Rhinolophus ferrumequinum: one gene and its partner. Each later gene encodes a partner of the first gene's protein in a complex. Links are inferred from orthologs where the notes say so. Each region holds a gene or a part of one and is shown in the gene's direction. Other genes may lie near its edges. The genes, in order: CNOT9 and CNOT6.

Region 1 (15,886 bases):
AGACCCCTGATAAATAAGTTAACAGGGGTTACCAATTCAACTGCCTACATGGGTCAGTCAGGTAACACATATGATGGGCAGGCAAAATATGAAAACTGCTATTCAAATCCAGCCAATTTTATCAGGTAGAAACAGTGAAACTAGCATTACCAGATCATCTAATTTTTCAAGAAAATGACAAATTTTTGTGTAAATCTGCCCATTTTTAATTGTGGGCAATGAATTCAAAGTTATGTTTAAAAGCTACAAATCAAACAAAACCCACTTGTAGGCAGGGTACAGCCTACGGATCACTAGTTTAAGGCCTCTAGATACTGTACATCAAATAACAGGGAATAAAATTTAAGAAGATATGAAAACACTCTTAATAGTTAAAAGGTGTTACGCATTGTAAGTCCTCTTATTATTATTCACTCATCTCATCAAATTTCTTGAGTGCCTACTGTAGCCAGATTTAGTATAATTTGCTGGGTATATGAATCCATCAAAGTTACACAGCCCACGACTTTGTTTATAGTCCTGTCTGTTACACAACATTTAATTCAAACTAGTAACTACAGAATTTTGGGCCAGCAATGTGTTTGTAATACTATTTTTTGGTGCTTCATTGTTTGGATATATCCTTGAAATTTTTTCCACTCTATTTCAGCCCAGCCAATAATACGTGGCCCCTTTCCTACCCCCGTTTCTTATGCCAGAAACGTGAGTGTTATCTTTGACTTCTCTCTTGATGATTATTGGTATTGGATTGGAGATGGAAGGTCAAGGTAGAGTCCTGTCAATTCTACCTCCATACACCTTCCAGACTTCTTTATAATGAAATGCAGATCAAATCATATCATTCTCCTCAATATTATCCAATGACTCCCCATTGCCCTCCCAGTAAAATCTAGACTCACTAACATGACATAAATGCCCTTCATGATCCAGGTTCTGCTTACCTCTCTTCCCAACAAGCCCTCCAAATCCAGCCATCTGAACTATTTATAATTTCCCTAAAAAAGCCACATGCTCTCATGCCACTATACTGTTGCACTCACAGAGGTTGAAGTCTGCAGGATGTTTACGTACTCTCCCCATGCCCCACAAGCTCCCATAATTTCTTCTCCTGTCTATAAAATCAAGGCTCAGCTTAGATCTAATCTTCTTTAAGAAGCCTTTCCCAGCTACCTTTCTCTTTTTCTCTCACCCCATATCCACACTGAGACTGTTCCATACTTCTCTATTCTTCTGTTGTACCCTGCGCTTACTTCCAGTAGGGCATTTATCACATTTTGTTATAAACTGCTTACCTCTTTGTCTCTCTCTATCTAGACTCTTCTATTTAAAGACAAGGAATGTGTTCTTTAAGCTTTGCATCCCCATTAGGACAGTGTCTGATACACAAGAAACAAACTCATTATTCACGAATAATGAACAAATCCGTACTATCAACTTTATTCAATTTACTGTGAAAATATACAACAGCAGATACTAGAGCCATAAATCCCTTTTACATAACCCTCTATATGGAAATATAGGGTTCTATTTCCTAAGCTCTTTACAAGTGTATCACTATGCACTGTATTACATATAACTCATCTTTTGAACGCTTAAGCCTTTTCTATGTGCATATGAACTTCACTAAATGTACAGCTATCGTCATATCTTAAGACTCAATGAGAAAGATAATAATGCATTATTAAAACAAAAACCTTAGTAAATTTGCCTAAACTGGGCTTTATACTATTCATTGTTCAATTAAAAAAACTCCATTTTAAGAGTTTTGTCAAATTTTCTCATCTTTCTTTATATGTCATTATGGGTCAGGGTGCCAAATTAAAAAGAAATAATATAAAACCCCATTATCTTAGTATTTTCCTTACAAGCCAAAAGTAAAGGTTGTTGACCTTAAATTCCACCAACAAAAACATATTTTTAGAAATTAGATTTAACAAAATGTTGAGGTAAAGATTTCAAAGCTCACTAAAATCCGTCAGAAATAAAAACAAACTTTATTGGTTATTTCTATTTCTCCATATAATTCTCTCTATAATTTCTCTCTACATAATTTTCAAACATTTGATGCAGAGTTTGGTTAAGTACATAAAATTTTACTTCAGATATTTAACATCTTCCTAACCATTTCTACTAACAATCTCTTTTTTTCCTAAGAAAAAAAAACCTAAAAGGTACAGGACATAAAACACTTTCTTAATGCCTCAACTTAGTCCATTACCTACTCTTGCATTAAATGGATTAACTATATCTACGTTTGTATATTCATATTTTCAGGGTTTGCCCTACTTGGTTAAGAGAAAAAACACTAAGTTTCTTTTTCAGTATTTGGCATGATCCAGTAATAGTTAAACTTTCTATGAAACTAGGACAAAGACAAGGTTTCTTTGACCTCTGTAATGCTAATTCACTATCACAGCGACATTAGGAAGACAAAGTATAACAAAAACTCATTCTTTAAGTATATCCAGAGAGATACCCCTTTACCTAAATTTCTTCACAATTATTAAAATACTCAATAAAATTACCAAACATGTGTCTATACCCCCATACAGGTGTTTAAATGCTATTCTTATTTTAGGTACTGCTTTGAAAACATTCTTCTCCAGAAGTGCATTCTGTGGTAAAGAAAGCATGCTAAAGAATAAAGCAGCTACTACAAAACAGAAAACTGTCAATTCTTGTCAAAATGCATACTCTTGGAAACATATATCCAAAATAAAAACATTACTTACTTTTCAGTGACTTTTACTGAAAAACCCTATGTAACAACAATTCACCTTTATTCTGATTCTTGTGCCAAAGGCAATGCACTCTTCTTTGGGAACTACTCATATTCTGCAGCTATGCCAGTTCTCCGGAAGCCATCAACTCAGCTAAAGAAAATATAAGCGTGCCTTTTTAAATGAATCCAATGTAAAAAATTAAAATTATTTTTAAATGTGATCATTTATACAACAAAGATTAACCTTTTGATTATTTAAAAACCATAAACCACCTTACTGAAAACACTTAAAATATAATGCTCAAGATACACACACACACACACACACACACACACACACACACACACACACGAGAGTGCAATAGAACTGTAGGGATAGTTCTACTTGCAAAATAAGGGATCCCAGGAGGAGCCGGCACTTCAATTTGTGTCTTGGTTTATTTATCCCTGCTACATTTTGAAACTAAGGCAGTGAAAAAGAGTGTATCTTTTGTTAACTTCAGAAACATTGTTTCATAATGATGTCTTACGTCTTAAAGATACCACTTCTATGATGTGCTGATACAATTTCAAAAGGTTAAGTAAACCTGGTTTTTACTTTTCTTTCAAAACTAACTTTATGGGTTTCTTTTTCAAATTTAGGCATCTCTAAGCCTCAACTTAAAGGCGGTTCTAACTCAAACATCTCTCATTGCCTTCATGAAAGCTGTAACATCAACTTTAAACTCGTTTATTCACTTAGTAAAAAATCATTTACTGAGCTACTCCAATTTGATAGCAGTCTAGTATGGATACAAATGTGAAAATTATACAGCCCATGCCTTCAAGAGGCTCCCCAGACTTCTCTCCACTTCTCCTTCCCCTTTCATTCAAGCAAAACATCCTAGCATCAGCTTTAACCTCTTCGCATTTATCTAAAACCCAGTCTTTTCATACTAGTTACTACCCTAATTCAGAAACACATCACTTTGCCATCACTCCAACCTAATATTTATTACGCAGCATTTACTAAGCACAGTGCTAAGCTCCATACATGCACTATCTCATTTAATTTTCACAATATCCTAAAGGATAGGGATTACTATTATCTCTCTGTTACAGATAAGGAAACCAAGGCTTGGAGAGATTACATAATTTACCTACGGTCAGAGTCAGTAAGAGACAACAGTCTACCACCAGAACCCACGTTTTTAACTACTACCATACTGCATCCTCATCAATGATTTGCAGCAACCACTTTCCAGTCTCCATTCCCTCAGGATTTTTTCATCCAATGAATCTTTACCCTTTCTAAAGAACTACTCTTTTTATCTCCTATCAAGGAGAATATACACTGCCTCCTTAACTTTCTCCCTAAAAGTGGGAGGGGGGGAGGACCTGTCCTACCTTCTTTTGTACTCCAACAAAATAACAGGCACTTAGTATGTGCTAAATACTTGCTATTGATGCTGATTCCTTCCCAAACATTTTTAAAATTTTATTTTATTGTGGTAAGAATATTAACATGAGATCTATCCTCTTAACAAATTTTTCAGTATACAACACAGCACTGTTAACTGCAGATACCATGTTGTACAGCATATTGCTAGACCTTATTCAACTTTTCAGCTTGCTTAATTGAAACTTTCTCCCAAACATTTTTAACAGCTCATCACTACCTACAAGATGAATCCAAATGCTTCTCTGTTCGGCATTCATACACTTCCTATGTTTTATTTTCTATTTCTCAACAAAAATCCTGTTCCACACACACAAATTATTAAATTTTAATATTTCCTTCCCATCTACCACCAACTTACTTAAATAGGATGTTTTCCTTTATTTTTGGAAACCTCCTTGCTGGTCTCATAGTTTAACCTGTTGTTTAAAAATATATAAACCACTGCTCTGATTTCTAAGGGCTTTCTTGCACAAAGATAAAATTAGTGTTGTGGCTGAAAGAGAGAAGTTGCCCTAGATAAAGTTTATCTCCAATTCAAAGAGTCTAAAATCTAAATGATTTTATGACATAAAAATGAAAATTCGTCCAAAGCTGGAAAACCCTTTGTTGTTTTTTTTGTATCCTTTGATTTGTCTGCAGACAGAAAAGGTGTTTGTCAACAGATGACAAGAATATCAGTAACCTTCCAAAAGACATGATGGCTACTCATTTAACCAATTCTTGAGAAACAGAAATTAAATAGTTACTAGCTTATATTCTAGTAAGAGACAGACTTTAAATAACCACACAAATAAACATATAATTACAAGTTCTGAAAGATGATATAAAGTGCAGGGCATGATGAGAGATTATAATAGGGTCCCTGATTTAAGACTTGGGGGTTAAAGGTTAGAGAGCACCTAGGGAAGGTTTCTCTGAGGAAGTACCATATAAGCTGAAACTTGAAGAAAGAGTTCACTGAAGGACAGTCATGCTGGAACCACCCAAGTAAACAGAACAAAATGTGCAAAGGCCCTGTGACAGAAAGTAACTTGGTGTGACTGAAGAAATGAAAAGCAGTGTGACTAGAGTTTAGTGAGAGAGAGGAGGATGGTGCAAGATGAAGCTAGTAAAGCAGGAAAGACTCAGGTTATGCAGAATCTTGTACAGCATAGTAATGATTTTGAATTTTACCCTCAATGTAATAAATACTTAGTGATTGGGAAATCCACAGAAGGGTTTTAAGCAGAGAAATGACATGTTACTGCTGAATAAAGAAGTGATTTCAATTTGGGGAGGAGAAAGGAGCAAGAATGGAAGAAAACAGGACAACCAGATACGAAAGTATTAAAGTGATTCAGCTTATAACAATTACAATAATAATGCTTACTGGCTGTTTACTATGTATCATGTTCTTACCACAGTTATCTCATTTAATCTTCATAAAAATTCAATAAGGTGATGATTATTCCCATTTTACAGATGAGAATACAGGGTACCTAGCAGTGACATTAAGTCCAAGTGAATGAGGATTGTGGCTTGGACTGGAAAAGTGATACGAAAGATATACAGAAATAGATTCAACACATATATTGGAAATAGAATAAATAGAACTTGAAGAGGGTACGGATACATGAAATGAGGGAGAAGTCAAGAATGGCTTTCAAGTGTCTAGCCTATGTAAGTGGATAAATGGATATGCCACTTAATGAAACGGGATACTGGAGAAAGAATTTGGATATGGAGAGAAAGATTAAGAATTTGGTTTTAGACATGTTATATTTGAAATCTCTAAGGAAAAAAATCAAGCTGAAATGTCAAGCAAATGGGGGCTAGTTATAATAGATCTTGAGCTTTTGGGAAGAGGCTGGAAATAAAAGTTCTTAAGTCATCAATATATAGGTAGAATTCAAAGCTTAGGGTGGAAAAGGAAGAGCAAAAAGAACAGGGCCTACGACTGAACCAAGATATTCCATGTTACTCCATTAAACCTCTCTCACCATGACCATCGATTACTTTGATTTCACTGGGCTTCTCAGTCCTCATTCATCTTTCAGCAAAATGCAACACTACTGATTACTTCTTCCATCTCTTTACCAGACTTGTATTCCTCTATCCAGTTATTAAACGTCAAGAACCCCTCAGTGAGCCATCCTAGATCCCCTTTTCCAGCGTTATACTCGCTTTAGGCAATTTCATCCACATCCATGGCTTTGATTACCATCAACGTGGCAGATGACATATATACATTTATCTATACTTCCAGCCCAGAACTCTCCTCTGAGCGTCAAACCAATATATCCAACTGCTAACTTGACATCCTCTCTTAGGTATCTCTTCCAGTTAGCTACTTGTCAGATACTGTCACCCCCCAAAAGGCATGTACAGAGCCAAAATTTTGAAAGAACTACCACAAAGCCACTACAGGCCAAGTCTCCAGAAAACAGGATTTTGTCATCAATTATCATTTCCTTTCATGGCTCATGCCCTAAAACAGGTGAAGCTGACAACCTGAACTGATGGCTAGAGATGGGGAGCAACCAAATGCACGACAAGAACACAATTCATGCGTTTTAGTGAGAGATGGTTAGGAGAGGAAAGAAGGTGAGGAACTGTCAAGAGAGTGAGAGAATCATGTCCAAGGCCTGTGGATGTGCGGCAACGTAGGTCCTCTTTTTAGAGACAGCAGGCCTCGCTAAGGGGCGAGTGGCGGACGCCGACAGCCCCCAGCGAAATGGGGGAGGTTCCGGCTGCGGAGGGGGCGAGTAACAGTCAAGACCAGGTCAAAGGAGAAGAAAAGCCTGAGGGAAGCCCCAAGTGCAGCACCGGTGAGGCCAGGGGAGCGTCGAGTGGATGGGGGCAGGCTGAGCAGCAGCGGGGCGAACTCCAGAAGAGTGAACGCCGAGTGGGCGGACCGGGGGTGGGGGGGAAGCCGCTGGGGAAAACCGCTCAGTTGAGAAGCTTTCTGGGCCCGCCTTACCTGTGCCTGCGAGTCCTGAGCCCGGGACAGGCCCGCCGGAAGCACGGAGTCCGCGCGGAGGGGGAAAAGTGGGGGGGAAGGAAGGAAGGGACACCCGGCACGGAGGAGAGGGACAGCTCACTCCCCCCGACTCAGGGAGAGCGGCTGATGGCGGGAACTGTGACCACACGCAAACACGCAACGCACGCACGCACACTCTACGCGACCGGACGGGGCGCGTGCGCGCAGGAATGCAAACTCCGCCCCTCCACGCCCTCGCCCCGCCCCAGCACTCGGCGAAGTCTCGCCAAGGCAGCCCCGCCCCATCTGACTACAGGACGCATGCGCATTTCTTACTCACTCATTTTCGACTTCCCACCATTTCCATCTTACTCAGCCCAGTCGGGCATGCGTACTACTTCTCCTTCGGGGACTGCCCTGCTTTTCCCGCCCTTCACTGGCCTCCGGAGGAGGGTCAGAGTTCACTCCCCTCTCTGGGGAGGCCTGCGGGGAATGCCAGGACTAATAGGAGGCGGACGTCCTTCAGGTCCTGAATCTTAAGCGACAAAGGACAGACTTTAGGACTAACTCCGTGGAGAGCTAGGAGGGGGGAAGAGGATTGTGGGCGGTGTCAGGGGTGAAAGGTCATAGGGCTGCGAAGGGGGCGGAGCGAGCCGGAGGCGGATGGCGGCTGCGGCAGCTCTTTGGCGGCAGAGTCGCTGAAGCTGGGACGTGGGTCGGGCGCGTCCGGCGGTGGCTGGAGAGCGGTGGCCGCTCCCAACATGCACAGCCTGGCGACGGCTGCGGTGAGTGGGTGCGCCGCCCAGCCTGGGCCCAGAACCCCTCCTCAGTCCTGCGTTTCGGCCTCCTCTCCTAGCTCCCTCTGTGGAGCCTGGAGTCCAACTTCTGCTCTCAACCCACGAGGCCCCGGCCCCCCCTCCTCGCCGCGCTTTGGTCGCGGTGAAGCCACCCCCTACTTTCCTCGCCCACCGGCACTTGTGGCCTCTCGCGCCGCATTTCGCGTTCTTTTCCGGCCTGGGGCCTGCGCGCGCCCGGAACGCCTCCCTCGCGGCCCGGACTGGCCATTCATTGATTCATTGCCCTGACCAACAGTTTCCGGGTGCCCGTTGCGTTCCGAGCGTCGGCGGGGATGAGGGTAATTCTGTGATCGATTTGACAAGGCCCCGGGCTCTCGGAACTGACTGCCTAGGCACATCGCAGCGGAAAGGAAATGGCTTCTAGTTAAAACCACTTGCTTTGCAGATGGAAAATCTGAGACCCAGAGAAGTGAATAATTATCGTGTCTGACTTACGGTTCTCTGCGCTTAAAACCTTTCCTCACACATCTCGTTTTATCAGTGTGGTCTTTTAACCAAAATGGATCGGGTAGTTCACCTGTCTAGTGTAATCCTATGGCTTCCCATTGCATTTAGATAAAATCCAGAGTCCTCGCTATGACAAGACTCTCGCTGGTTCTTACCCACGTTTACAGTCTTGTCTTATGTCACTTGCCCGGTAGGCTCCAGTTACACTGGACATCCCGTCTACCATCCCTTCTGGTGTGCTTTTCAACTCCAAAGTGCACTTTCTGATCTCTGTTCCTGGAATGCTCTTCCAACTTAAACACACACACACACACACACACCCCTCCCCCCAATGTGGGCATAGCTGGCTTCCCTCAGGTCTCTGCCAAATCTCCCTAGAGTGGGCGACCCTGACCGTCTTTTTTAAAGTACTGTAGTTCTGTAACCTCCAACTTTACTTTTCAAGTATCCTTTACAGCATTGATTACAATTTGTAATTTTTTTGTATTTATTTGCTTGTTGATTGTCTCCCTCTTGAGGACAGAGACAGGGATCATGTGGGTCTTGTTTACATAGTAACCCAGATCCAGGACAGTTCCTGGCATAAAGTAAGGGCTCAGGTACTTTGCTGAATGAGGGGTGCAGATGAAGGAGGTGGCTACTGAGAACACATAGCCACAGTGGGAAAATGGGATCATATGATTTGAGCACACTTTTGTAAATGCCCACCCCACTTTTTCTGTTTCACAGAGGTAAAGTGACTTAATGAGAGAATAATATACTTAAGTTGCATTAGTAGGCAAAATGATACAAATACGAAATAGAGAACCCAAAAAATTGCCTTTAAATATAAAAAGGAAGCTGTGTAATTAGGTTAGAGAAAACGTCATTTCCAGAGCCAGTGGCATCTCTGCCTCCTGTCACCATGTTTCTAAGTGTTTGTAACTAGTCAAAGTGGAGAAGTACCTTTTATATCTCTCAATTGGGTGTTTGCAATTTCCCCAACTTTTTTGTTTCTTCTCGCACATTACATGTATAATTTGGAAGAAGCAAGTCAGAAGATGAGGTTTCTGCTAGTAGGGAGGGACAAGGTAAATAAATTCTTCTAAGGTTGGCTTGTCCATCTCTCAAAATCTGATCGTGTGTTCGCCACACTTTGATGCCAAGCTGCTCTTTTCTCTGTGCCTCCCCAAACTCTATACCCATACCTATTCAATTTCTTTTATTTTCATTTGCTCCCTGTAATTCATCTTTTGAACAGCCATTAAAGCTGTGGTTCATTACTTATAAGTAAGTACTCAATACATGTTTCTTCAATTAGATTGACAATACATTTATTTAAAATTTGAACTTTTAGATATACTTTCATTTGTTGTGCTGCTTAGACCACACGAAAGCTCTGACAAGTTACTTTCTACCACTCATTCACTAGAATATTTGGTTAGTGAGGAGACTGAAGCGCATGCCTTCCATTAGACTAAACTGCCTGTTTTATTCTGATCTGGGTAAAGGGACAGTAATGGTGTTTGTCACTCTCTAGAAATTGAGAAAAGTTAATACATGCACCAGTGCCTGCAGTAATCTAAGCAACTTGATTATTACTTTTTGCCTAATGATGAAAATTTGTATCTGTGTGTACCTTTATCTTTTTTAAAATAACAGGTAATTCATCATTTCAGCTAGGGAGATAGTACTGTCAAAGGAGAATGTGATCACATGTGAATGCAGGATTTCATTCACAATAGGGAGGATTTGAGATAATTTGGGAAATATCTTAAATTTTGACTTGAGTAGTATTATACTGGAAATGTATGGTATGATAGACCTTTCATTCTTTACAGAATACATTCTAACGTCTTCATTATTGCCACCATAGAATGTAATTTCTCACATCTATTAAATAAGGACACAAATACACACAGGATTATTTAAAGATGAAATAATAACAGAGTGATCAGTGGTTGGCTAGGTTCACTCACTGGTTAAATGGCTTGCTCCTAGGTTCAGCTTTGGGACTCTAGTTCCTGCCTCAACAGAGTAACAAATCACTTTGTTATGGACCTTGGAGGTTGATTAATAGAATTATTATACATATCTTCACATACTGTGGGTCTTCTGTAATGAATGATATGCTAGTGATCTAAAACAACCAAAGGAAAGCCCTTATGAGATGCTCTGGGTATGCATTTTTAAAAATATTCCCCACTGATTCCCCAGTAGAATTTCTACTGGCAATTCTAACATCTTTAAACCCTTGTTTTTGCCTCGCTTTCCACCTAATGGGCACCGTCATTAGTTATTCTATATCTTTTTGTTGAAGTTGTGCTAGACTCCCAGAAGCCTTCCTCTTTGGCAAGTAAAAAGAACATTGTGCATTCATTCTGGCACATCTAATTCAAAGACTGTCTCCTGTTGAAGTTTTAAGCAAATTGCCTAACTTCTCTTTGCTTATTCACTTCTATTTTTAAAAAGTTATTTTTGAAGAACATTCTGGACCTTATTTTCATAAAGATATGAGGATAATTGAGCTAATTTAATATTTCCCTTTGGCAGTATTTAGAAAGTGTGTTTTCTTGGAATATCGTCAACTAGACATTCAAAGACACTTGTTGAGTCATCTCCAGACTTGGGAAAATAATCTCTTTTTCAATCTAATACTCTTCTTTCTTTATTCATTGTCAAATATTCATTGGTAGAAAAGCCAGCTATTTTGGCCCTTGAATCTATTTTGGCCCATACTGAAAGATTTGGATATTTTCTGTTTAAGAAAGCCATCAACATCAATGTTTAAATTTCCTCATGAGGGGTAAATCATTTTTCTTTCTCATTTATAGGTAAATGTGGGTCTTTTTATTTAAATTTTAAATATCTTTTTCTTTTCACATTAAGTATTAAGATCTTACAAAGATAGAAGACCAACTATCAGTACCCTGTGTTTGTGACACTTGAAGTTAACCATTGGTGACTCACATTGGTAAATGTCTTGCCTATGTTAAGCTTTGTTGAAAGAAAAAAGTTATTTGAAATACTTTTTCTATATACAAATCATTAAACAGAAAAGGGGAGAGCAATTCCCTCCTAAATTTTGGCCATACAGACATTTTTAACATTGAAAGGAAGGGACCACTGACATTAAGCGAGTTATATCTGAAGATACAGTTATATCCAATAGCTCTTGTTTGTAATCTTGGAAGACAGTATTAAGGAAGATAACTAATAGTTTAAATCAGACTTCTCATGAGTGACCTTACGTTTCTGGGTATGTAAGTGAACTTACCGTTTATCCAAATCCAACTGTTAATGAGCTATATTATACACAATGGGATATTAAACTTAAAAGTCTGTATTGGGATCTTAAGAAATATTTTCTTCAACTTGGAGAGATATTTGTGATTTCAATCCTATAAACCAGGTAGGGGCTCACTGATTTTAGAGAGAAGTAGCCTAGAATTTAAATCTAATTTTCTGCCATATACTCGCTGTGTGAACTTGCATATATTTAACCTCCCTGAACCCATTCTTTCTTAGAATTTTGAGAATAAGGCAGATGATCCACAGTGACTGGCACATAGTATGTTCAGTAAATATTACCTCCTATAAATAGTTTCTAGAAAAGGCAGACCTCATCTATAGCAGCAAAAAGCATATCCATAGTTGCCTAGGGCTGGGTGTGGTGCGATTCCTGACAGGAATACTAGAGAACTTTTGAGGGTAATGGAAGTGATCTATATCTTGATTGTGGTGGTGGTTACTCAGGTATATAGATTTCTCAAACTTCATTGAAATGTACACTTAAAATGGGTGCACTGAAAAGTTTTATTGTATATAAATTATACCTGAATAAAATTTATTATTTTTAAAGAGCCACTTAGATTAGTCTCTCACTTTATAACAAAGAATTAAATAAATTTCTAAGATTTTTATAGCTGACTGAGACTTCGGTAATTAATTCCTTCATTTTACCAGTGATAAAACTGAGGGTTGGGAAAGTAAATGACTTATCCTAGGTTACACATGCTAGAAATGGCAAAGCTGTGTTTTGAAGCCACTTATGGCTTCTAATCTAGTGTGTGTTCCACTTACGTGTTTCCTATTCATTCACTTGATAAACAGGTTATTAATCCTAGGTCCATGGATAGGTTGCAGAAGGGGTGGTCTACGAATTCCCTGAAATTATGTGTAAATTTGTGGAAAACAAATTATGTACAAAACAATTTGCAATTATGTATTTTTCTGAGGAAAAGATCCATAGATTTCATTTGATTCAAGAAATGTTAACCCTTGTGCTTGTGGTATCCCGCCATCATTGTTAAAATGTTTAAGTTAGGTGGTCTCCAGTAGGGAAGTCATACATGAGTTTGCTTATCTGCCACTGGACAGTGTGTGCTACTAGACTGAGTTCCACATCAGCCACAGCCTCAGAAATGTAATTAGTAAATTATAAATTTAAGAATAGTAGCAAGTGAATTAGGAATCTTTAGAGGTGATCTTTAAATCGAGCATGAGAAGAAGGGGAAATCTGTCACCATCATTTACTCATAGTTTCATTTGTAAAATGAGGATGAAACCACATTATTGTGATCATTAAATGAAACCGTGTTTTTTAAAAAGTGCATATAGATCCATCCCTCTCTTCCCTCATCCCCCACTTTCACTTCCCACTACCTTTTAGAAGACATCAATTTTCAGATTCTAATATTTTTGTGAAAGGTGTGCCTAAATGATCCTTGGGATTCAGAAGGAAAGTGAAATACATTTTGGGTTTTTATTACCAATCAAGGTCTAAGAATGAAACTAGACCACTATTTTATACCATTCACAAAAATTAACTCAAAATGGATTAAAGATTAATTCAACAAAAAAACACACCAAACAACCTGATTAAAAAATGGGCAGAGGATCCGAATAGACATTGTTTTACATACAGAGGGGCCAACAGGCATGTGAAAAGATATTCAGCATCACCAACAGGGAAATGCAAATCAAAACCTAAGTGAGATATCACCTCACACCTGTTAGAATGCTGTAAAAAGACAAGAAAATAACAAGTGATGAGGTTGTAGAAAAAAGGGAACCCTCGTATACTGTTGGTGGAACTGTGAATTGGTACAGCCACCGTGGAAAATAGTATGGAGAGTCCTCAAAAACTTAAGAATAGAACTACCATATGATCCAACAATTCCTCTTCTGGATGTTTATCTGCAGTATATGAAAACACTAATTTGAAAAGATACATGTACCCCTATATTCATTGCAGTGTTATTTACAGTAGCCAAGATATGAAAACAACGTAAGTGCATTGGAAACAACATAAGTGCATAAGGATGATGTGTGTGTGTAAACACACGCACACAATGGAGTACTACTCAGCTGTTAAAAAGATAAAATATTGTTATTTGCAACAACATGAATGGATCTTGAGGGTATTATGCTAAGTGGAATAAGTCAGAGAAGAACAAAACCCATAATATTTCACTAGGGGAATATAAAACAAAGACACAAGTAAAACAAAAACAAACTCCTAGATGTAAACAACAGATTGGTGGTTACCAAAATGAAGGGGAGTGTGGGGAGGATGAAATGGGTAAATGGGGTCAAATATATGTTGACAGATGGAAACTAGACTTTTGGTGGTGGGCATGGTGAGCCCGCTATAGTGTATACAGATACCAAATTATAATGTGTACCTGAAATTTACATAATGTTATTAACCAGTGTTACCTCAAAAAAAAGGTCTAGTGAGATGCTAAAGTTGTGCTTTAGAGTTTTGTTCAGGGATGATGTCCAAAGTATTTTATCAATTGTCTGGTAATATAAATTAATTTATAAATCAATATGTAACTCAGAATTGTAAAAATATTTTTTATTCTCCAAAATAACTGAATTTCCGTGTGTGATAAAATTACTTGTTGATACATAGGTGTGTGTGTGTTCGTCACTATCATTAGCTAAATTATGCCCATCTGAGCCATGATTTGACATAGGGAACTATGTCAAACAATTTCACAGACTTTTCCATTAAACTTAGGGTTATTAAGTACCTTGTAATCTCAACAAGTAGAGAATTTCTCTTAATATCAGTGACATTGTTCATGGTGCTGATTGTTTTTCAGATTCTGCTGAACTAACAGCAGTGACATTTTAATTTTTGTCTGAGATTTTTATACATTCCCTATCTATTGTCTAGGTCACAGGAAATAGTTATTTAGAAAGTCGTCTTTAGATCAGACCTAATCCTTGAGACAGTTGACAGACAAGCAGCATTAGCAAAGCAGTTAAGAGTATGGACTCTGTTGCCAGATTGCCTAAATTCAAATCCTGGCTTTGCTGCTTAAGATTTTAAATAACTTCTCTGTTATGAGTTTCTTCATCCATAAAATGAGAGTAGTGATGATAAGTATTTATTTAGGCCAGTACCTGACAGTAAGTACTGCATATGTTAGTTCCCATTTTTATTTTAAGGAATAATTTTATTCATCCCATAACAAATAGGTATTCAGTGGGTTTAAACTAACTCCCACTATTAAATTGGGGGCAGAGTTCAATAGGGATGATGAAAAGGGGGTCCCTACCCCAGATGTTTCCCGGTACCAAACTGCCCTCACTGCCTTCCCATTGCTAGAATGGCTACGGAACCCATAGCTCCAAGCCAGTGCCTGAGAAGGCTGTAGCTCCCACATGTAATCTCAAAAGTTGGAGTATTTCTGGCCCCCGGTGGCCATGGCCTGACGGATCCAAGTAGCACCAGGCATTGGCTCCCTGGAGTGCCAACACCATTCCAGGGGTACCATCTCCTCGCGGGAGTCAGGCCAGGCCTGGGAACGGAATATGTGGGGATAGGCCTGGTGTTCAGAAGCCATGATATGCTGTCTGGTGGCTACTAGTGCAGCCTGGGGGTGTTCACGTCGGGTACCCCAGGACAGAATGGGGTACAGGGTTGTTGGATACAAGTCACAGACTGGCTCTAGTGGGGGGTGGAGTTTACTGATGGTGGTGTCTGGTGACAGGACTTTGGGGACAGTTGACCGGAATAAATGACTAATCAGGGTGGATACTATATTGCTGGGGCAGCGTTTCTGAGGCCCCCTTTAGTTACTGGATTGTGGGCCGTTCAAGAGGCTGGGCAGGAAACCCAAAGCTAAAATTTTAGCTGTTGTTTCCACTGAGCCTTTAAGGTGATGTAATACTTTAAATAAACATACCCTATCTTCTGGTGGGAATTACATTTCCAAAAATAATTTTTCAGTTGAGGGCCTGTCTGGAGCAGCATTGAGAGGGCAGCTGCTTGGACAAGACTACTTTGGTTGTTGGGAGGGGGAGAAAACTACCCTGTTTCTTCTACATCGTATTGTTGCTTTAGGAACCTGTTTCCTTGAGGCGCATCACTGATGGGAGTCACGAAACAGTTTTTCACAGATTACTCTAAGGCACTTCAAGAAGACTTAAGCTGCATGGTGTTTAAGTTCATTTAGCAGAACACC
Region 2 (15,203 bases), on another chromosome or scaffold:
CCCTTTCCAAACTAAAAATGGCGTTACCATATGAACCAGCAAATATAGTCTTGGGTCTTTGTCACAGAGAAAACTTATTTTCACACCCAAACTTGTACATGAATGTTCTAGCAGCTTTATTCATAGTAACCCCAAACTAGGAATGACCCAGACTTATGAAGGATTAAATAGTGTTTTGCCCATACTATGAAATACTACTCAGCGATAAAAAGGATGGAACTAAAAAGGATGATACATGCAACAGCTCAGATGAACCCAAGGAAATTATGCCGAACCAATTTCAAAAAGATACATACTGCATAATTCCATTTATATAACATTTGTAAGAGAACATAATTATAGAGGTGAAATTAGTAGTTAACCAGGGGAGGCTGTGGCTGTAAAGGGGAGCACAAGGGAGTCTTGAGGTGGTGGTACAGTTAAGTGTCTTGATTGTGGTGGTGGTTCCATGAAGCTACACATGACAAAACTAGAGCTACACACACACACACACACACACACACACACACACACACACACACACACACGAGTGCACGTATGACTGATGAAATCTGAATAAGCTCAATGTTTTGTACCTAATGTCAAGTTTCTGGTTCTGATATTGCACCGAGCTTATGCAGGATGTTAATATCGGGGGTGGTGGGGTGAAGGGTCCCTGCACATTTCTTTGCAACTTCTTGTGACTGTAATTATTTCAAAATGAAAAAGGGTTTTTTCTTTTTTAAAGGGGAAAGGGACTCCTGAGAAGGAAAACAAATGAAACAAAACAAAATCCTCAAAAGTCTCAGAAATTGGCGTCAGCTACATCTGCAACTGAAAGTGACATTTTTTTTGGAAGTGTGGGGAGGCTAAAACCAAGGACAGGAGAACACACTCTGAGAAGAAATGAGACCCCAGCTCCCCTGCCCCACTCAGCTCAGACAGATGTCTACCCCTCCTCCACCCTGGGGGTTTGTTCTCTGTTGAGAGTACAGCAGAGAGTTTCTAGATATTTCTTCCTACTCAGCTGTAAGGATGTTAGCAAATAAAGGGGAGTTGGTAAATTTCATCTTTATTCTGGAAGAAGAGTTATCCTGCCATCCTGGTATAATTTCCTCCTTCGGCCTCCTATATGAAAACTTGGACAATTAAATTCACAAACTTTCCACCGTGCACTTACACAGTGGAAGATTTGCGAATTTAATTGTCCGGCCTTTCGTTTCCATGTGCAGCCCTCTTGCTTCACAGAGAGAGAGAGCTCTCCCATCCCTCCCCACGGGGCCCTCGCAGCTCCGAGTAGCCAGCAGTCTCCAGTATGGCATCCTGTGGCCCAGTAACCTAGGAACTAAAAGGCATCTACCTCCAACACACAGAATATATAAATTAGCAGTACGAATAAGACAATTGCAGCAAACCAACCAACCACCTAATTCAGAAAGTGGGGGAGGTAGATATACCTGTCTTGGGTTTATCTTATTTGGTTTTCCAGGAACACAGCAGTCTCCCTTCTCTGGAGGCAGAGTAAGATACTGATCAGCCCACCTGAGAGTCCTTTGTCCACTGGCCTCTATGGCTTTGTCCCTGCCTTCTGGAAGGCATTGTCCCTTTCACGGTCACATAGACTTGGGAATTAGATCTTCCTGCTGATACAGGTTTGGGAGATTGGGTGTTGCTTTGGGGATTAAATATTTACGAAATTGTGGTCCACATTGGTGGTTTCTTTGACATTTCACTCCAAAAACTAGTAGGCTTCCAGACTTTTCTCATCCTACTTAGTTCCAGGCGGATACTAAGATCTTGCCTGGATATAATTTTTAAATTTTAATACTTGGGTCATTTGCCTTGTGGTCGGCTCACCACCCAATTTCACAACTTAATGAATCTGAGGCTATTTTTGAAATAATCAACTTAGTTTGGAAGGCAACACCATCAATCTACTTTCTGCCAGCAAGGTTTTCATTTCTGCATGGTAGAGCATCGATCTTATGTCCTGCCAAATACATACCTTGATTCTGGAGGTGTGTCTCTGCTCCATCAAATGCTCAGAAACCAGGTTTCATCCAGCTCTTTCTTATTCTGATATCGTGGGCCTTGTTCTCATGGTCAAAAATGGCAGCAGGGTGGAGGGCCAGGGGAAAGAGGCAGAGAAGGGTGGGGGGGACAGGAAGAGCAGGTGTCACTTATTGGAAGAAGTGTACATAAGAATATTGGGTAGTTGGGGAGGTGGACCGTGGCAGAGATGGTTATCTGTTCAACAAAATTACTGCTGTCCTTCCATTGGATAGATTTGCTGCTGAGAAGCAGCTGCTCAGACAGAATTGAGGAAGTTATTTCCAAGCTTGTGGAACTCTTTCCCAAGTCTTCTTTGCAATTGGAAGGGATAGGTGACTAGTTCTCACCAAAGGAGTGTGAGAAGAATCAATAAGGGTGACTTCAGGCTGAGCTGGTTAAGATGCACTTGTACTTTCCGCTCCATCTCCACCCTCTTCACCAGTGGGTACTGAGGGCTCCAAAGCCTAACGCAGGGGTTCTTGACACTTTTTACTCCATGAGCCCTCTTGGCAGTCTGGTAAAGCTTATAGAGCCCTGCTCAGAATAACATTGTTTAAAAGCATAACATAAAAATACATAGGATTACAAAGGAAACTAGCTATATTGAAATCCAGTTGCCCAAATATTTAAGTGTTACAACATAACAGTATTTATACACTTAAATAGCTTATCAAATAACAAAATCTACTGGTGGGTCTAATGTCTTTGTTTTCAAAGAAGTAAATGAATGAACGTGATATTTCAAGATATCCCCAACATTTTCTGTTAGGCTGATGAAAATGCCACGGAGGCACAGGAGTTGCCCAGGGGGCCATCAGTCCAGGGGCAGTGACCACGTCAGTGTCCTCGCAATGAACACTGTTCCTCAATTTGCTGACTGTGGTTTCCCAGGGGCCTGGAAGACCCACGGACAACATCCATTTTAGAAACTGTACAGGCCTCACTCATGTTACTGTGTCAAAAAAGGGTCAACTTTCCCTAAACTTTTTTTAGGCCAATCTCTTTAAGAAACATCTTTCAGATTCCCCTCCTAGTTCAGCCTCCTGCCATCATTCTAACACCCCATATCCTATAAAAGTAGCAAGGCAATAAAATGGTTTTCACCCAGGGCAGCAGCAGTGATGAATCTGCCGGTAGGGCTTAAATCAAACACCCCTAATGGCTGCCCTACATGTGGACTTTCAGGCATCGGAGTCCTAAGTAGCCTTATCCACTATGCATGTTTGAGGGTGTACGGTTTATTTGTTTTGTTATTTAGAGCCAAAGCATCATAATCAATTCAAATCTCTGGCGACTGTGGCTGGGGTGGGTCCAGGGATGACATAGCCACTTTCTTCTTCATGCCTTTCTGCTGTTTGGTCTTAATTTGTTTTCAAACCATGACCACAAATTATTTTTTTAACACTGAAAAAGATGGTTCAATCTTAGAGAAAAAATGACATATACTTAAAAACAGAAATGGATTTGCTGCCTTTTCCCATTCCCGTTAACTTCTCTAAGGTGTCTTTGGGGAGAGCGTCTGAGCTCTGAAAGGGGAATACCTCCTCTGTCTCCCACGTGCTGAGGCACTGAGGCACCTTCTCCCCACAGCACACTTTGGCAGTGAAGCCACGACCAGACAGGTGCCTGGAGAAGCAGCTGGCAGGGGCTGTGTGTGTGTGCCAGTGGGGGCTTAACAGAGAGTGGACCTTGGACCTTTGCTTTTCTCTGCATCTATTTTTCTTTCTTCCAGCAACAATATCCCCAGTTCTTCTCTGGACCCCCCCACCCCCACCCCGCCAGCTCTTTCCATATGTGCTTTGAGTGAAGTTAAAGATGATCCAGCTCCAGGAGAGGGCACGTGATTTCCTCCTGGCCAGGGTAGGATATCACCCTAAACGTGGTGTTTGGTTCAGGGATGGAAATGAGTCAGTCCCAGGACATTTGCTCAGCTGCTGAGGGAAGCTCTCTCTTTCCTTCTGGGCTTGAATCTTGTAGGAGCTGGCATCCATTCTGCTTCCATACTGCCCCTGATGATAAAATCAACATGGAGAGGAGCAGAGTGCATTAGCCTCTAGATTAGCCCCTGAAGCTGATAGACTCTTTCTGGCCTTTTACAGTGATTAGACCCAACTAACTCCTTTCTTTTCTTAAAGCTGTTTGAGATGGTTTTTCAATCAATTGCAGGCTAATATAGTGGGCCCAGAGACAAAGGACACTCTGGGGAGATCTGACTGGGACCTGCAAGTTCATCTGTTAGACTGGGTCCTCTCTGAGAAAAACTGGAGGCCTCACCAGTGCTGGCCCTGGTCAGCAAGTCTCCACCCTGAAAGGAGGCGTCAGACTGTCAGAGCTGAGTGGCTCCACAGGGCCCACAGTTCAGGCTCACCAAGCACCCTCTGGCAAGACCGGTTTGCCATGTGCTTTCCCACTGGGAGACGTGGATCTTCCACTGTAAGCATTCGGGTCTCACCGTGGTTGGGTTTATCTTGCAAATAAACCTTGGAGCCTGCATCAGTTCGCCATCTCCTGTGCATTTTAGTTACTGCAGCCACTCTGAGCAATGCTCCCCATCTCCGGGGACCTTGGCAAGTCCAATTGCTGGACCCACAAAGTTATGGTCCACATCCTACACCGACCTTGAGTTTGAATTCCAGACACGCCTGCAAAATAGACACCACAGCCACATCAACAGGCATGGCCACCTCTTGGTTGTCCATCTTCGTTATTTATCCTCCTATCCACTAGCCAATACATTTACTAAGCATCAAATGAGAAGTATTTTGATTGCAAGTGACAGAAGCCTAACCTTAACTTAAGCAAAAAATGAACTTATTGGCTCATGTACCTGGACTAGATCATAGGATAAAAGGGAAAACTATCAAAATCAGGATTTTGGCACCTGGTACCAAGGCTCTGTCACCAAGACGATCTCTCTTCATCTCTCTCTCATCTCTCCATGTGTTGGGAAGATGCACTGGCTGCCACCAACTCATACTGTCCCAGTTTAGGACCCCAGTGGTATGAGAACTCTTCCCACATCCACATAGCAAATCCCAGGTTGGTTACATGCCCACCACTGGGCCTGAGGGTCAAGGTGTTCAGAACAGAGGAAGGAACTGCGAAAGCCTGTGAGTGGAAAAGACTCAAAAGCAGCCCCAGTTGGCGGCATGGGGGCAACATGATTTAGATTGGAGTGGCTCACAGCCTGGCAGGGAGAATGCTATCTTTGCTGAGTGCCCTGATGGCAGGAAAGGGGCCCGGAGCCTGAGGAGACAGGAACCAACTCTGCTGGGAAGCCTTCCCTGAGAAGGCCTGAGGTGGAATCTGCTCCCCTCCTTCTGGCCACCCCAATTCCCCAAGGGATGGTCCTTCCCTGCTCTCAATACATCTACTTCATGCAGGGCTGACCTCACACCTGGCTGCAGGGAGTAAGACCAGAGCTCTGGTCAGGCCAGTGAGAGCTGCCCTGGGTTCTTGCTAAAACGATGAGGAAAGAAATTCTCAAGAGGAGAAGCTGGTAGAATCTACGCCTGCCTGTCGTAGTGGCCATCTCTCCTGCCTGGCTACACAACCTGTGTGAAGAAGCCAGTGGGGAGGAGAGCAGAGTGAAAGGTGGAGGGGTGAGATTGTTCTGGATGGCATCTTATTATGCCTGAACTTTTCAGTTATGTGACACCTGAATATGCAAATGATCTCTTTCTGCAAAAAGTCTACTTGAGTTGGGGTTTTATAACAATGCAATGGGAAGTCTTGGCTCACATGAAAGGCACGATTTGGATCTGCAAAGGTGAGAGGCTTTTCTAGGGTTTTCTTCAGATATTCAGAAAGAACAGGACGTGCACAGGCAGGGCCACCACTGGTACCCTCCCTGTGGGTTCCCCCAATCTATCAGATGGCCCCCCAAAACTCTGTCCCTCCCTGTACATACATGCAGCTCCTGTGTTGCTTATGTCCTCTCCTCTTGAATCTGGACTGGGCTTTGATGCTATGACTAACAGACTCCTGAAGTGACATCCTTCAGAAGGCCTGGCAGCTTCCACTTGCTCCCTCGTGGAGCCCTGGGTTGCCATTCAACAAGTCCAAGATCTCCTGCCGGAGAGAGAAACCACAAAGAAAAGCTGAGGATGAGATACAACACAGAAAAAGACCTCACTGGGGGCACCAAGGTGCCAGACATCCAACCCCCAGCCACCATCTCACTAGAGGCATGAGAGCCCAAGTGAGACCAACAGAATTGTCTAGCTGGGCACAGTTATGTCTATCATGAGCTATAATAAACTAGTTTACACCACTGAGTTTTTTGTTATGCGGCTGGACGTCCCCTCCACCATACATATTGCGCCAACCACAAAAAGTAGCTCCCTCTGGGCAGCTGAATTATAAAAAAGGGACCCCTCTGTCCAGGCTGGAGCACAGGTTGCCAGGGCACAGCACTCACATGGAGGCAGAGGACCAGCTGGATGTACAGCAGATTGCTTAACCCTAGACTCAGTAGCCTGGGTTTGGAGGATACAGAGGGATGCCCACAGGCCAGTCTGCACTTGCTCTTTTCAACCCCTAACCCCTGCTGCCCTGTTCTTGTCCAGTGTCCTATGGCACTAGAGGACTGGGCTGTCATGTTGATTTCTTGGAAAATGGCAGGCAGGAACCATCCCCAGGCCATGCTGGGGAGAGACAAGCACAGAACCTCGGCAGCCTCTGTCCCTCAATCTTTTCCTTGCTCTTCCAGCTCTACCTTTGCCCCAACAGCAGCCACCCGTTTCCATATACTCTAGCCCAAGACAGCCTTTGGTGGGGGTGTCTTACTTTACCGCTATTGCTACTTACCAGAACCCATTTCACTTGTATTTCTTCAGGGTTGATATCTCAGGGGGGAGCCCATCCTAGTTTGCCATGTAGATGAGAGGATGGCTACTCCTTTTCCCCTCATGCCATGCCTGTCTGCCTCTCTACTGGATTTTAAGTCTGTTGGCTGTTTCTCTTGCCTCCAGACTATGAGCTTGCTCGGGGCAGAGTGGGGCCTGCTTCATCTCTCTGCCCTGGCCCCAGCACAAAGCCTGGCCATATAAGTTAAGGTGTCCACCCCATCGTCAGCCAGTCCAGTCTTTCCTCTGCTCGCCTTCAGTCACCACCTGAATAGAACGCCTCCATGTCTGAACGCAGATGCTGACGATTACTCCAGCTAGAATCCCACCACACGAACCGTCCCTCAATTACTGGACTGAATGACCATTGATGGAGCGCAACGGGCCATTAAGTAATTTTTTCAGCATATTTGAGGGAAGAAAACTCATATGACTGTTCACGATTGAATGTCTCATCTTTAGGCAAATCAAGATACTGGCTAAGGTCAAAAGTCTGAGAGCTAGTCCATGTTTCCATGTGATTGACAGGCAAAACGGAGGGGAGGAAGATCAAAGAAAAAGAGGGAAGAGAGGAGACAAAAGTGAACAGCCCGAGACAAATAAAAGAGAGCTGGATGAAAACCAGAGCAGCCGTTAAAAAGAGGAAAAAAGAGAAGTGACGGGAACGACGGGAATGAGGAGAGCGGGAAGAGGAGCGGGAGGGAGGGCCGGGAGCGCGCCGGGCCGGACCACCGTCCCCAAGGGCGGGGGTGGAGGGGCGGGGCCTGGGGCAGCGCGTGCAGGAAGAAACCCCTCCCGGCGCCGAATGGTTGCGCCCGGTGGCGGCGGCCAATGGGCGGCCGGGATGTTGGAGAGGCGGCGGCGGTCGGGGCGCTCGCTGGCTGGGAGACGGCGGCCGCCGCCATGATGCTTGTTTGCTTTCAATGAAAGCGAGGGGGGCGCGGAGGAGGAGGCGGCGGCGTCGGTGGCGGCGGCGTCGGCGGCGCGGAGGCGAAGGCGGCGGCGGGCACAGCGAGGAGGGCGAGGCCGGGGCCCGAGAGGGCAGGAGGGCATAGTGGCGGCCGGTCGGGGCAGCTGAGACGGGCGGCTGAGGCGGTGGCGCTCGGAGGGGGAACAAAGAGCGGCGGCCGAGGCGGCGGCGGCGGCGCTGCGGCAGCGGGCGGGACTGGTATGGTGGTTCCACAGGTCAGACCCCGCTGCACTCACAGGGAGGAGGCGGCAGCGGCGGCGGAGGTCGGCGCACCCCGAGAGGTGAGCGAGATGGCCCAAGCCCGCCGGGCAGCTCCCGCACTGGCTGTTCACGGGCCCCGCTCGGTCGTGCCCCCGGGGCACGCGGGGAGCGGGCAACTTGAGCTTGGCGAGCGGCGGGCCCGTAGCTGGGCTGAGTTGGCGGCTGTTGAGGCCCCCAAGATACGTTGCGATCGCGCAGCGCCGGGAGTCGCTCCCCCACGCCCAAACCGGGGGTGGGGGGCGTTGATTGACGGCGGGCGCGGCGGCGCGCAGGGGCGGGGCGGGGGCGCGCTGGCCCTCGGACCCCGGCGCGGGTCCCCGGGAGGAGGCGAGTCGGTGTCCGAGACTCGCGGCCGGGATGGGTGGCAACTTTGGAGGAGTGGCTGTGGGATTGCGCGCTGCAGAGTGTGGAACCTCGCAAAGCGGGAAACCGACTGTTTACCCCCTCCCCCAAAAGTGTTTACAATTCAGTTTAACGCAGATTTTGGGGGAGTGGGTGGGAATGACATGGTTAAAGAATCGCTTAGCACCGAATGAAAAGATTTATGGTATTGCTAAGGTAAGGACTCGGAGTAGTTCTAGTGACTTGAAGCAGTTTTCTCCAGTAACCGGAGTTCGTTCTCTCCCCCTCTCCCCCTCTCCCCCTCCCCCCTCCTCCCCCCTGCCCCCCTCCTCCCCCCTCCCCCCCTCCCCCTCTCCTCCTCACACTCCCCACAATACGGAAACTTTTTTCTTTGACTCTTCCTCCACCTTCCCCAAAGAGCCTGCTAACTAACGCCGGTAACCTTTTTATTTAACTGTTACTGCAAATGACAACATTGTGAATGGTCATCTTGCTGGACCTTCCTGGATTTGTTATTGTGTTAAGCTGACATTGTTTCAATAATCTGCTTGAATTTGAGTTCCCATATTTACCTGTTTTCCAGGTGGATTGTCCTATTAGTGCTACTGCGGAATCTTCTTGCTTCCTTGTTTCTGGGAATTTAATTTTGAAGAGAAGAGAATTTTGGAGAGGAAGTGAAAAATAAAATGGCATGTAATAACACTTTGTGTTTTTCACAATACACTGACTGGGATTTACCATTCCAAACCAGTTTTGTAGGTTGTAGGAGCTGATACAGCCGTTGGTCAAGGTTTTGAAGACTTTTTTTGGTAATTGCTGTCAGCAGTTGTCACTGTCTTTAGAATGTCATGACTTTTAGAATAAAAATTGCTTAATATTTTTAGACGAGTGATCTAGTCCAGTCGACTTGCTTTAAACAAAATATTTGAGTAAGTGCTGATGAGGAAAGACCTAGAAGGTTAAAGTGACTGGCCCAAACATATTACAGTTAAGAGGGACCAGGTTGTGTATGAATATGAGAGCAAATGAGAATGTAATTGCTGGAGAGTATAGTTCTTTGGGGAGGGCAGAGGGTGTTTTAATGGATTGAAGTTATTTGAGGTAGTTGAGTCTGGTCAGTTCTCAGGTGAACATGACAGTGAAATGGTCAAAAACGAAGATGTGACAAAAGTGTCTCGATCAGTGGTAATGTAAATGAAGAAGCCCTTTTAAATGTCTGTTTGATTTTGTAGGTATCTTCAGGTATCTTAAATCTTGGGGGCAGAGTACTGTTACTGGGAAATTTCAGACTAGTTTCTTTTAAAGAGATGAGGGTGGTTATAGAACTCGATCCTGACAACAAATAAAGGTGTTGTAGGAATCTACCTCCTCTACCTGTAGTTTATAAATATGTGCTTTGGTTAATACTTAGGCATCGTGCTATACCCATATGAGCCTTATTATATTCTTTAAAGCATACACCGTTTTCATATGCAACGTTTTCATATGTAACGCAAACAGGAATAAAGGCCCAAGGACTGCTCACAGCTGAGGGTGGGGGCGCCGACATCTTCAGCACACTTGTACTTTTTCCATGTGCAAGGCACACTAGGGAAAGCTCTGCTTTTAAAGTGTTTATCACTTTGGAAAAGTCTAAATAGGCTCAGCTAAGAACATACTCTAATGGAGAAAAGAAAGACGTGGATTTGTGGGTATGTAATGCTATTAATTACACTTTTGTTGTGGTTGGAACTTAATGTTACTGTCTTGGGAAAGTTCCAATTTTAATTTTCAAATCCTTAGCTTCCACAAAATCTTTTATCCATGTACTTTTTTCTTTCATCTTAACTGCTGCTCATTTTAGGAAGGTAGCCATTTTAGGACAGTGTGATTAACAAAACACTATGTATGTGAAATTAAGAAATGCTGAATAAACTGTAAAACTTACTGTATGCATAGCCTGTGTTCATTAGAGTACAATGAAATGCACTATATTTTGGTATTTGAAGTAGTAATTAAAGAGGAGAAGGTCGTTTGCCTCTAAGATGGGGCCTCATTTAGGCTGCCTTAATCTTACTCCCTCATCCCTTTATATTTTCTTGATAGCTTAAGTTACATATCGAGGAATAGTTATGCTGGACCCTGAGAATGCAAAACTGAATACTCAAGTTTCTGCCTGGGTGTAGTTTAATAGGCTTAGTAGGTGTACCAAGTTCTGTGGGAGAATAGAAGAGAAAATGGTTGTATTTGTGGAAGGTGTGGAAGCAGTTTACAGAAAATAACAGAGAAAAGGTGTTTGTCCAACTGGGGATAAGGGGTCATTTCAAACAGAAGGAACCATGGGTGCACTGAGGTGCCAAGTGTTGGGGTGAGGTCAATGGTGAGATGTTACCGGAATAGGGAGACTGACTAGAGATGAACCTGCAAAAAAGTATGTCTGGCCTAGATTTTGAAAGACCCTGCTTGCTAAGCTAAAAGTGAGGTTTATATCTTTATCCTATAGAAAAGGAGGGAGCCAAAATATTTTTAGTGGGGGCATAAGGTGATTTAAAGATCACTGTCATCAGTGTGGAGGATTGAGCCAAGGCCCTACATGTAAAAGTCACATTTGAGATAGTGTGGAGTGAGTGGTTCTGAATCTATTTTTAACTTGGGTATATAGTGTCTTGTGTCTGGTCCCTTTTCTGTTGGGCTTGAGGGCTCTGCCCAATTGCTCTGTAATACGGGGTAATTTAAAATAAAAATGCCAGGATGTTTTGGAAGAAGTTAAAGGAGTCAAAACAATGAAACCCATAAAATCGTACATGTGAAAGTTTCTTCTGAGTTAGGCTCAGGCAGACTGTGGAACTTAAAGTGGAAAAATCAACCCTCTGCTCACCGGAAGCGAGAGCCACCAAGCTGAAAGGTTATGATGACCCTGATGGTCTGTTGAGATACGGGTTATAAACATTTCATGAACTTTGGGGGGAAAGCAGTTTTCTCTCCAGTAGCGTACTGGTTAGAATACTGAAATTTTCTTAAAGGCTAAGCACTCGGTAGTCAGTTCTGCTGTAAGGGCATGTGGGTTCCTACAAATCATGGTATGTAAAATTGCAGTAAAAAGTCAGTGACTTATTTGTAAAAAAGGAACCTGATAAAAATGACAGCACAGTTTTACACGTTAAATGGTTAAACAATATATAAATGCTCCAATGTGTAGAATTTTCCTTGAAAAAGACCTGGTTTGCTTGTGGAAATGGGCATAAGAGGGGTTGCTGCTTGTGAGTTATTATGAAGTGGTGGAAGATTTAGCTGAACTCAGAGGGAATGTTATAACACCACCAGATGTGGGTGAATGTGTCTCATAACACGCAGAACTGATGTAGTTGGTAGGTGTTTGAGGGGTGTGTGTGTGTGTGTGTGTGTGTGTGTGTGTTGTATCCACACAGCTCCATTCATTGGGGTACAGTGTTTTACCTTCATCCAGTGTTTTTCACAGATAATTACACGTAAGCAATTGGGAATTTTGAGTTATGCTCAAATTCCCTAATTTATCAATCACATTGGAACAAATCCACATTTTCAGCACAACTGATCAAGCAGACCTGATTGTATTTGAATACAGCACTTTGAAATAGTGCTGTAAACCTCACTTCCAAAAGTCCTTGCACACCCATGTGTCAGGCACCATATATAGATTTGCTGTCCTTATGGGGCTCGTGGTCTTTGTCCCATGTGGGTTTAGAGTGGTGTAGAGCGAGTCCAATGAACCAGTAAAGCCCTCATCAGGTTATGTAATGATGAGGACTATACAGAGCGTTTGGGGCATGCTAAGGAAAGGGCAGCTAACTTCTGCTTGGGAAACTTGAGGGAGTCGTCTCAGAGGTCCTTGAGCTGATGTGAAGGGTGAGCAGGTTGTCAGGCTGAGTAGGGCATTACGAGGAGGAGGAACAGCATGTGCAAAGTCATGTCACGTACAACTTGGATGTGAGGAACTGAGGGGTGGCCAGAAACAGTTTGTGAATAGTCTTAGGCTTGTTCTTAAAATGTTGGGACTTCCATCTATATATAATGGGGATCCATTGAGTGTTGAGGTTGAGGAGACACGCAGGGGTCAGGAAACGGGTCAGAATTCACTCGAGTCCTTGTGAGAGGTCAAAGACATCAGCGTAGGTGCTGGAAAAGCATAGGATAAATATGAAAGATACCACCAGCTCTAAAAAGAGGAAGGAGCTGAGTATGATTCAGAAGTTCTTTAGCTTGGGGAACTATTGGTATGATTTAACTTGGGTAAAAGAGGACCAAGAGCAAATTTGGACAAGGAAAGTGGAAAAGTATGATTTTGATTCTAAGTTTGATGTATCTGTCGGATATTTGGGTGGGTATGTCTGATGAGTGTCTGGACCAGGGAGTGGTTGTGGGGGGGGGGTTATACATTTGGTCATTAAGTAGTTGGCTTTGGATTTAGGAGATCACTCAGGAAGAGTGTGTGAACAAATGCTTTTCACCATTTTGGGGGAGATGGATCCCCACTTGAGAATCACTTGAGAATTCTGGATCCAGTTGAAGAGAAGTATGCACACAAGTGTGAAACTTACTCATGGACCACAGGTTAATTTAAGAAGAGGAGAGGACTGAGGGGGCACCCGTAGGAACAGCCAGCTTTTAGTTTCAGACAGGATGGCAGTAAAGAGGTGGGAGCAGGGGAGAGAGCAACGTGGCGAAGGTGCTAAGGGAGGGAGGTAAGAGCGCTCAGAAGGAGGGAGTTTTCAGTGGAGACAGACGGTGCTCAGGTTTAGGGGAGGATGAGCTGGGAGAATGGATTGAGAGGGCAGTTAGGTGAATATGAGCAGAGCAAATTTTTCTGGGACCAGAGTAGTTGTCAGATTGTAGTTTGGGCTGGGAGCAATGGGGAGGTTAAAATGAAAAAGGTGGTAGACTGCTGTTTGGAAATGTTTAAAGGGGAAGAGAAGGAAAAGGGGTAATAGTTTAAAGAGGAGACAGGGTCCAGAGAAGGTTGGCACCTACTATGTTAGTTGTCAGCCTTTCTGTTTGCTTTAAATCCAAAATTTAGGAATAAATTCCTAATATATATTGTATGTAGACTTTATATTTTTCCCTGATATGTTGGTTGAAATGATTCACTTTTTATTTGGTCACGTAAAATTATTTGTGGAATTTCATGTGACTTCAAAAACAGTAAATTCTTCCTTGCTGGAGGTAGAGATTATCTGATGTAAAATCACCTTGTTATAACTTTGCCTTTAGTTACTAGAAGACTAAAATCGACTTTTTCATGTTCCCTGTACTAGGTTTTACTTGCATTGTGCTCAACAGCTCAAAGTTCAGTTAAATATTTGATACAGTTTAAATGTAGAATATAGTAGCAAAGACCGGAATGTCAGGCATAGTGATTTCCAGAGTATTTGCTACAAATATATACTCAAAAAGTAAACGTGGTGATGTAGCAAAACAAAAATTAAGCAATGGTCTTTGTATCCAAAAAGAGTATTACGGTGAGTCTCTAGATACATCAAGAGGCTACGTATAGATTTTTTTAAACTAGGCAGATTTTGAGTGAGGGGTGTGGGGAGACAGACTAAAAGAAGATATTAAGAATCCCTGCTAATTAAAGACGAAACAGAAATGAAGACTTATTAAAATTAAGTCAGAATATTTGCACTCAGCTCTTTGGGGGACAAAATCTTTTCTTCCCTAAAGATTGTGTATAGTTGTATGTAAACATTGCAGGATCATAAGGCAGTATCTGATGAAGCTCACTGCCATGTTTTAGACTAATAGCTTCCTTTACACATTTGCACCTAAAATTGTTGAAAGTGAAACTAGTGTTTGGGGGACATCTAAAGAATTGTCATTTGGTTTCTAATTTTAGGGAAACTTACAGAAACTCAGACTTAGTCACAGATAGATAGTCACAGAAAGAAAAAATAACCGTTGAATGCTAATGATGTGATAGGCACTACGTTACATGCGTTATTTCGTTTAATCCTCACCCCAGAATTGTAAGGTAGGTATCATTTATAACTGTGGAAACTTTAGCCTCTTTTTGACTCTGGTTTGTGTTCTTAATGACACACTGTACTCCCCACTCTTCCCTCCTGACACACACACATCGTGCTGTGGCTTGGAATGGACCTTTGATAGAGATTTGATAATACAGGGAGACCCAGTTGTTGCCACACATTTATAACCACTTGCAATAGTGGCTGACCATGTCGACATAATAGAGGTAGAATCTTAATACTTGTGATTCTCTTTTTGGTTATGGATCAAAAGCCATGAGTCCATGTAGGAATACTGTTCTTGCTGGTCCAAAATCCAGTGTTAAAGCATCTCACTATTTTAGGAAAAGGCAGTCACTTGCACATCTGGCGTCAGAAAGCCATGCAAAGCAGAACTCTTGAACACATTTGCTGTCGATTTCTTTCCATGAAACCTCACTCAGTAGCTTTCAAGCAGTATTCTATTGTTTTTAAAGGCCTCTCGATCATTTGTAAGCTCAGCATTTCATGAATTTTCTTTCTTGGTTTTAGGGGGAAAAGGGACTAATGCGTCAAAACTAGTATGTACGGATCTCCCAAGTGATTGCATATATGAATTAGCAACGAGAATAAATGTTGAATCCCTCAAAAGGCCAAAATTCCCACTAGATAGTGGTAGCTAGAATATGATTCATTGTGAGATGGAGAATCTGGCCAAACAAAAAGAAATGAAAAGATTTCTGTTGGCCATCATTTGGTGCTGAAGCTGCAAATAAGGTGGTTGTTGCTTGT

The links.
Region 2: CNOT9 (region 1) and CNOT6 share a complex: the UniProt entries of both Homo sapiens proteins name them as parts of the CCR4-NOT complex. The link is inferred for Rhinolophus ferrumequinum from reciprocal best matches to the Homo sapiens genes CNOT9 and CNOT6.

What each region holds. Positions count from the first base shown.
Region 1 is NC_046291.1:16,765,425-16,781,310, reverse strand, and holds the start of CNOT9 (CCR4-NOT transcription complex subunit 9), read left to right. Parts: upstream 1-7,741; 5' UTR 7,742-7,883; coding exon 7,884-7,907; intron 7,908-15,886. UniProt on the Homo sapiens protein: Component of the CCR4-NOT complex which is one of the major cellular mRNA deadenylases and is linked to various cellular processes including bulk mRNA degradation, miRNA-mediated repression, translational repression during translational initiation and general transcription regulation.
Region 2 is NC_046307.1:3,494,220-3,509,422, forward strand, and holds the start of CNOT6 (CCR4-NOT transcription complex subunit 6), read left to right. Parts: upstream 1-7,967; 5' UTR 7,968-8,129; intron 8,130-9,034; 5' UTR 9,035-9,137; coding exon 9,138-9,144; intron 9,145-15,203. UniProt on the Homo sapiens protein: Poly(A) nuclease with 3'-5' RNase activity.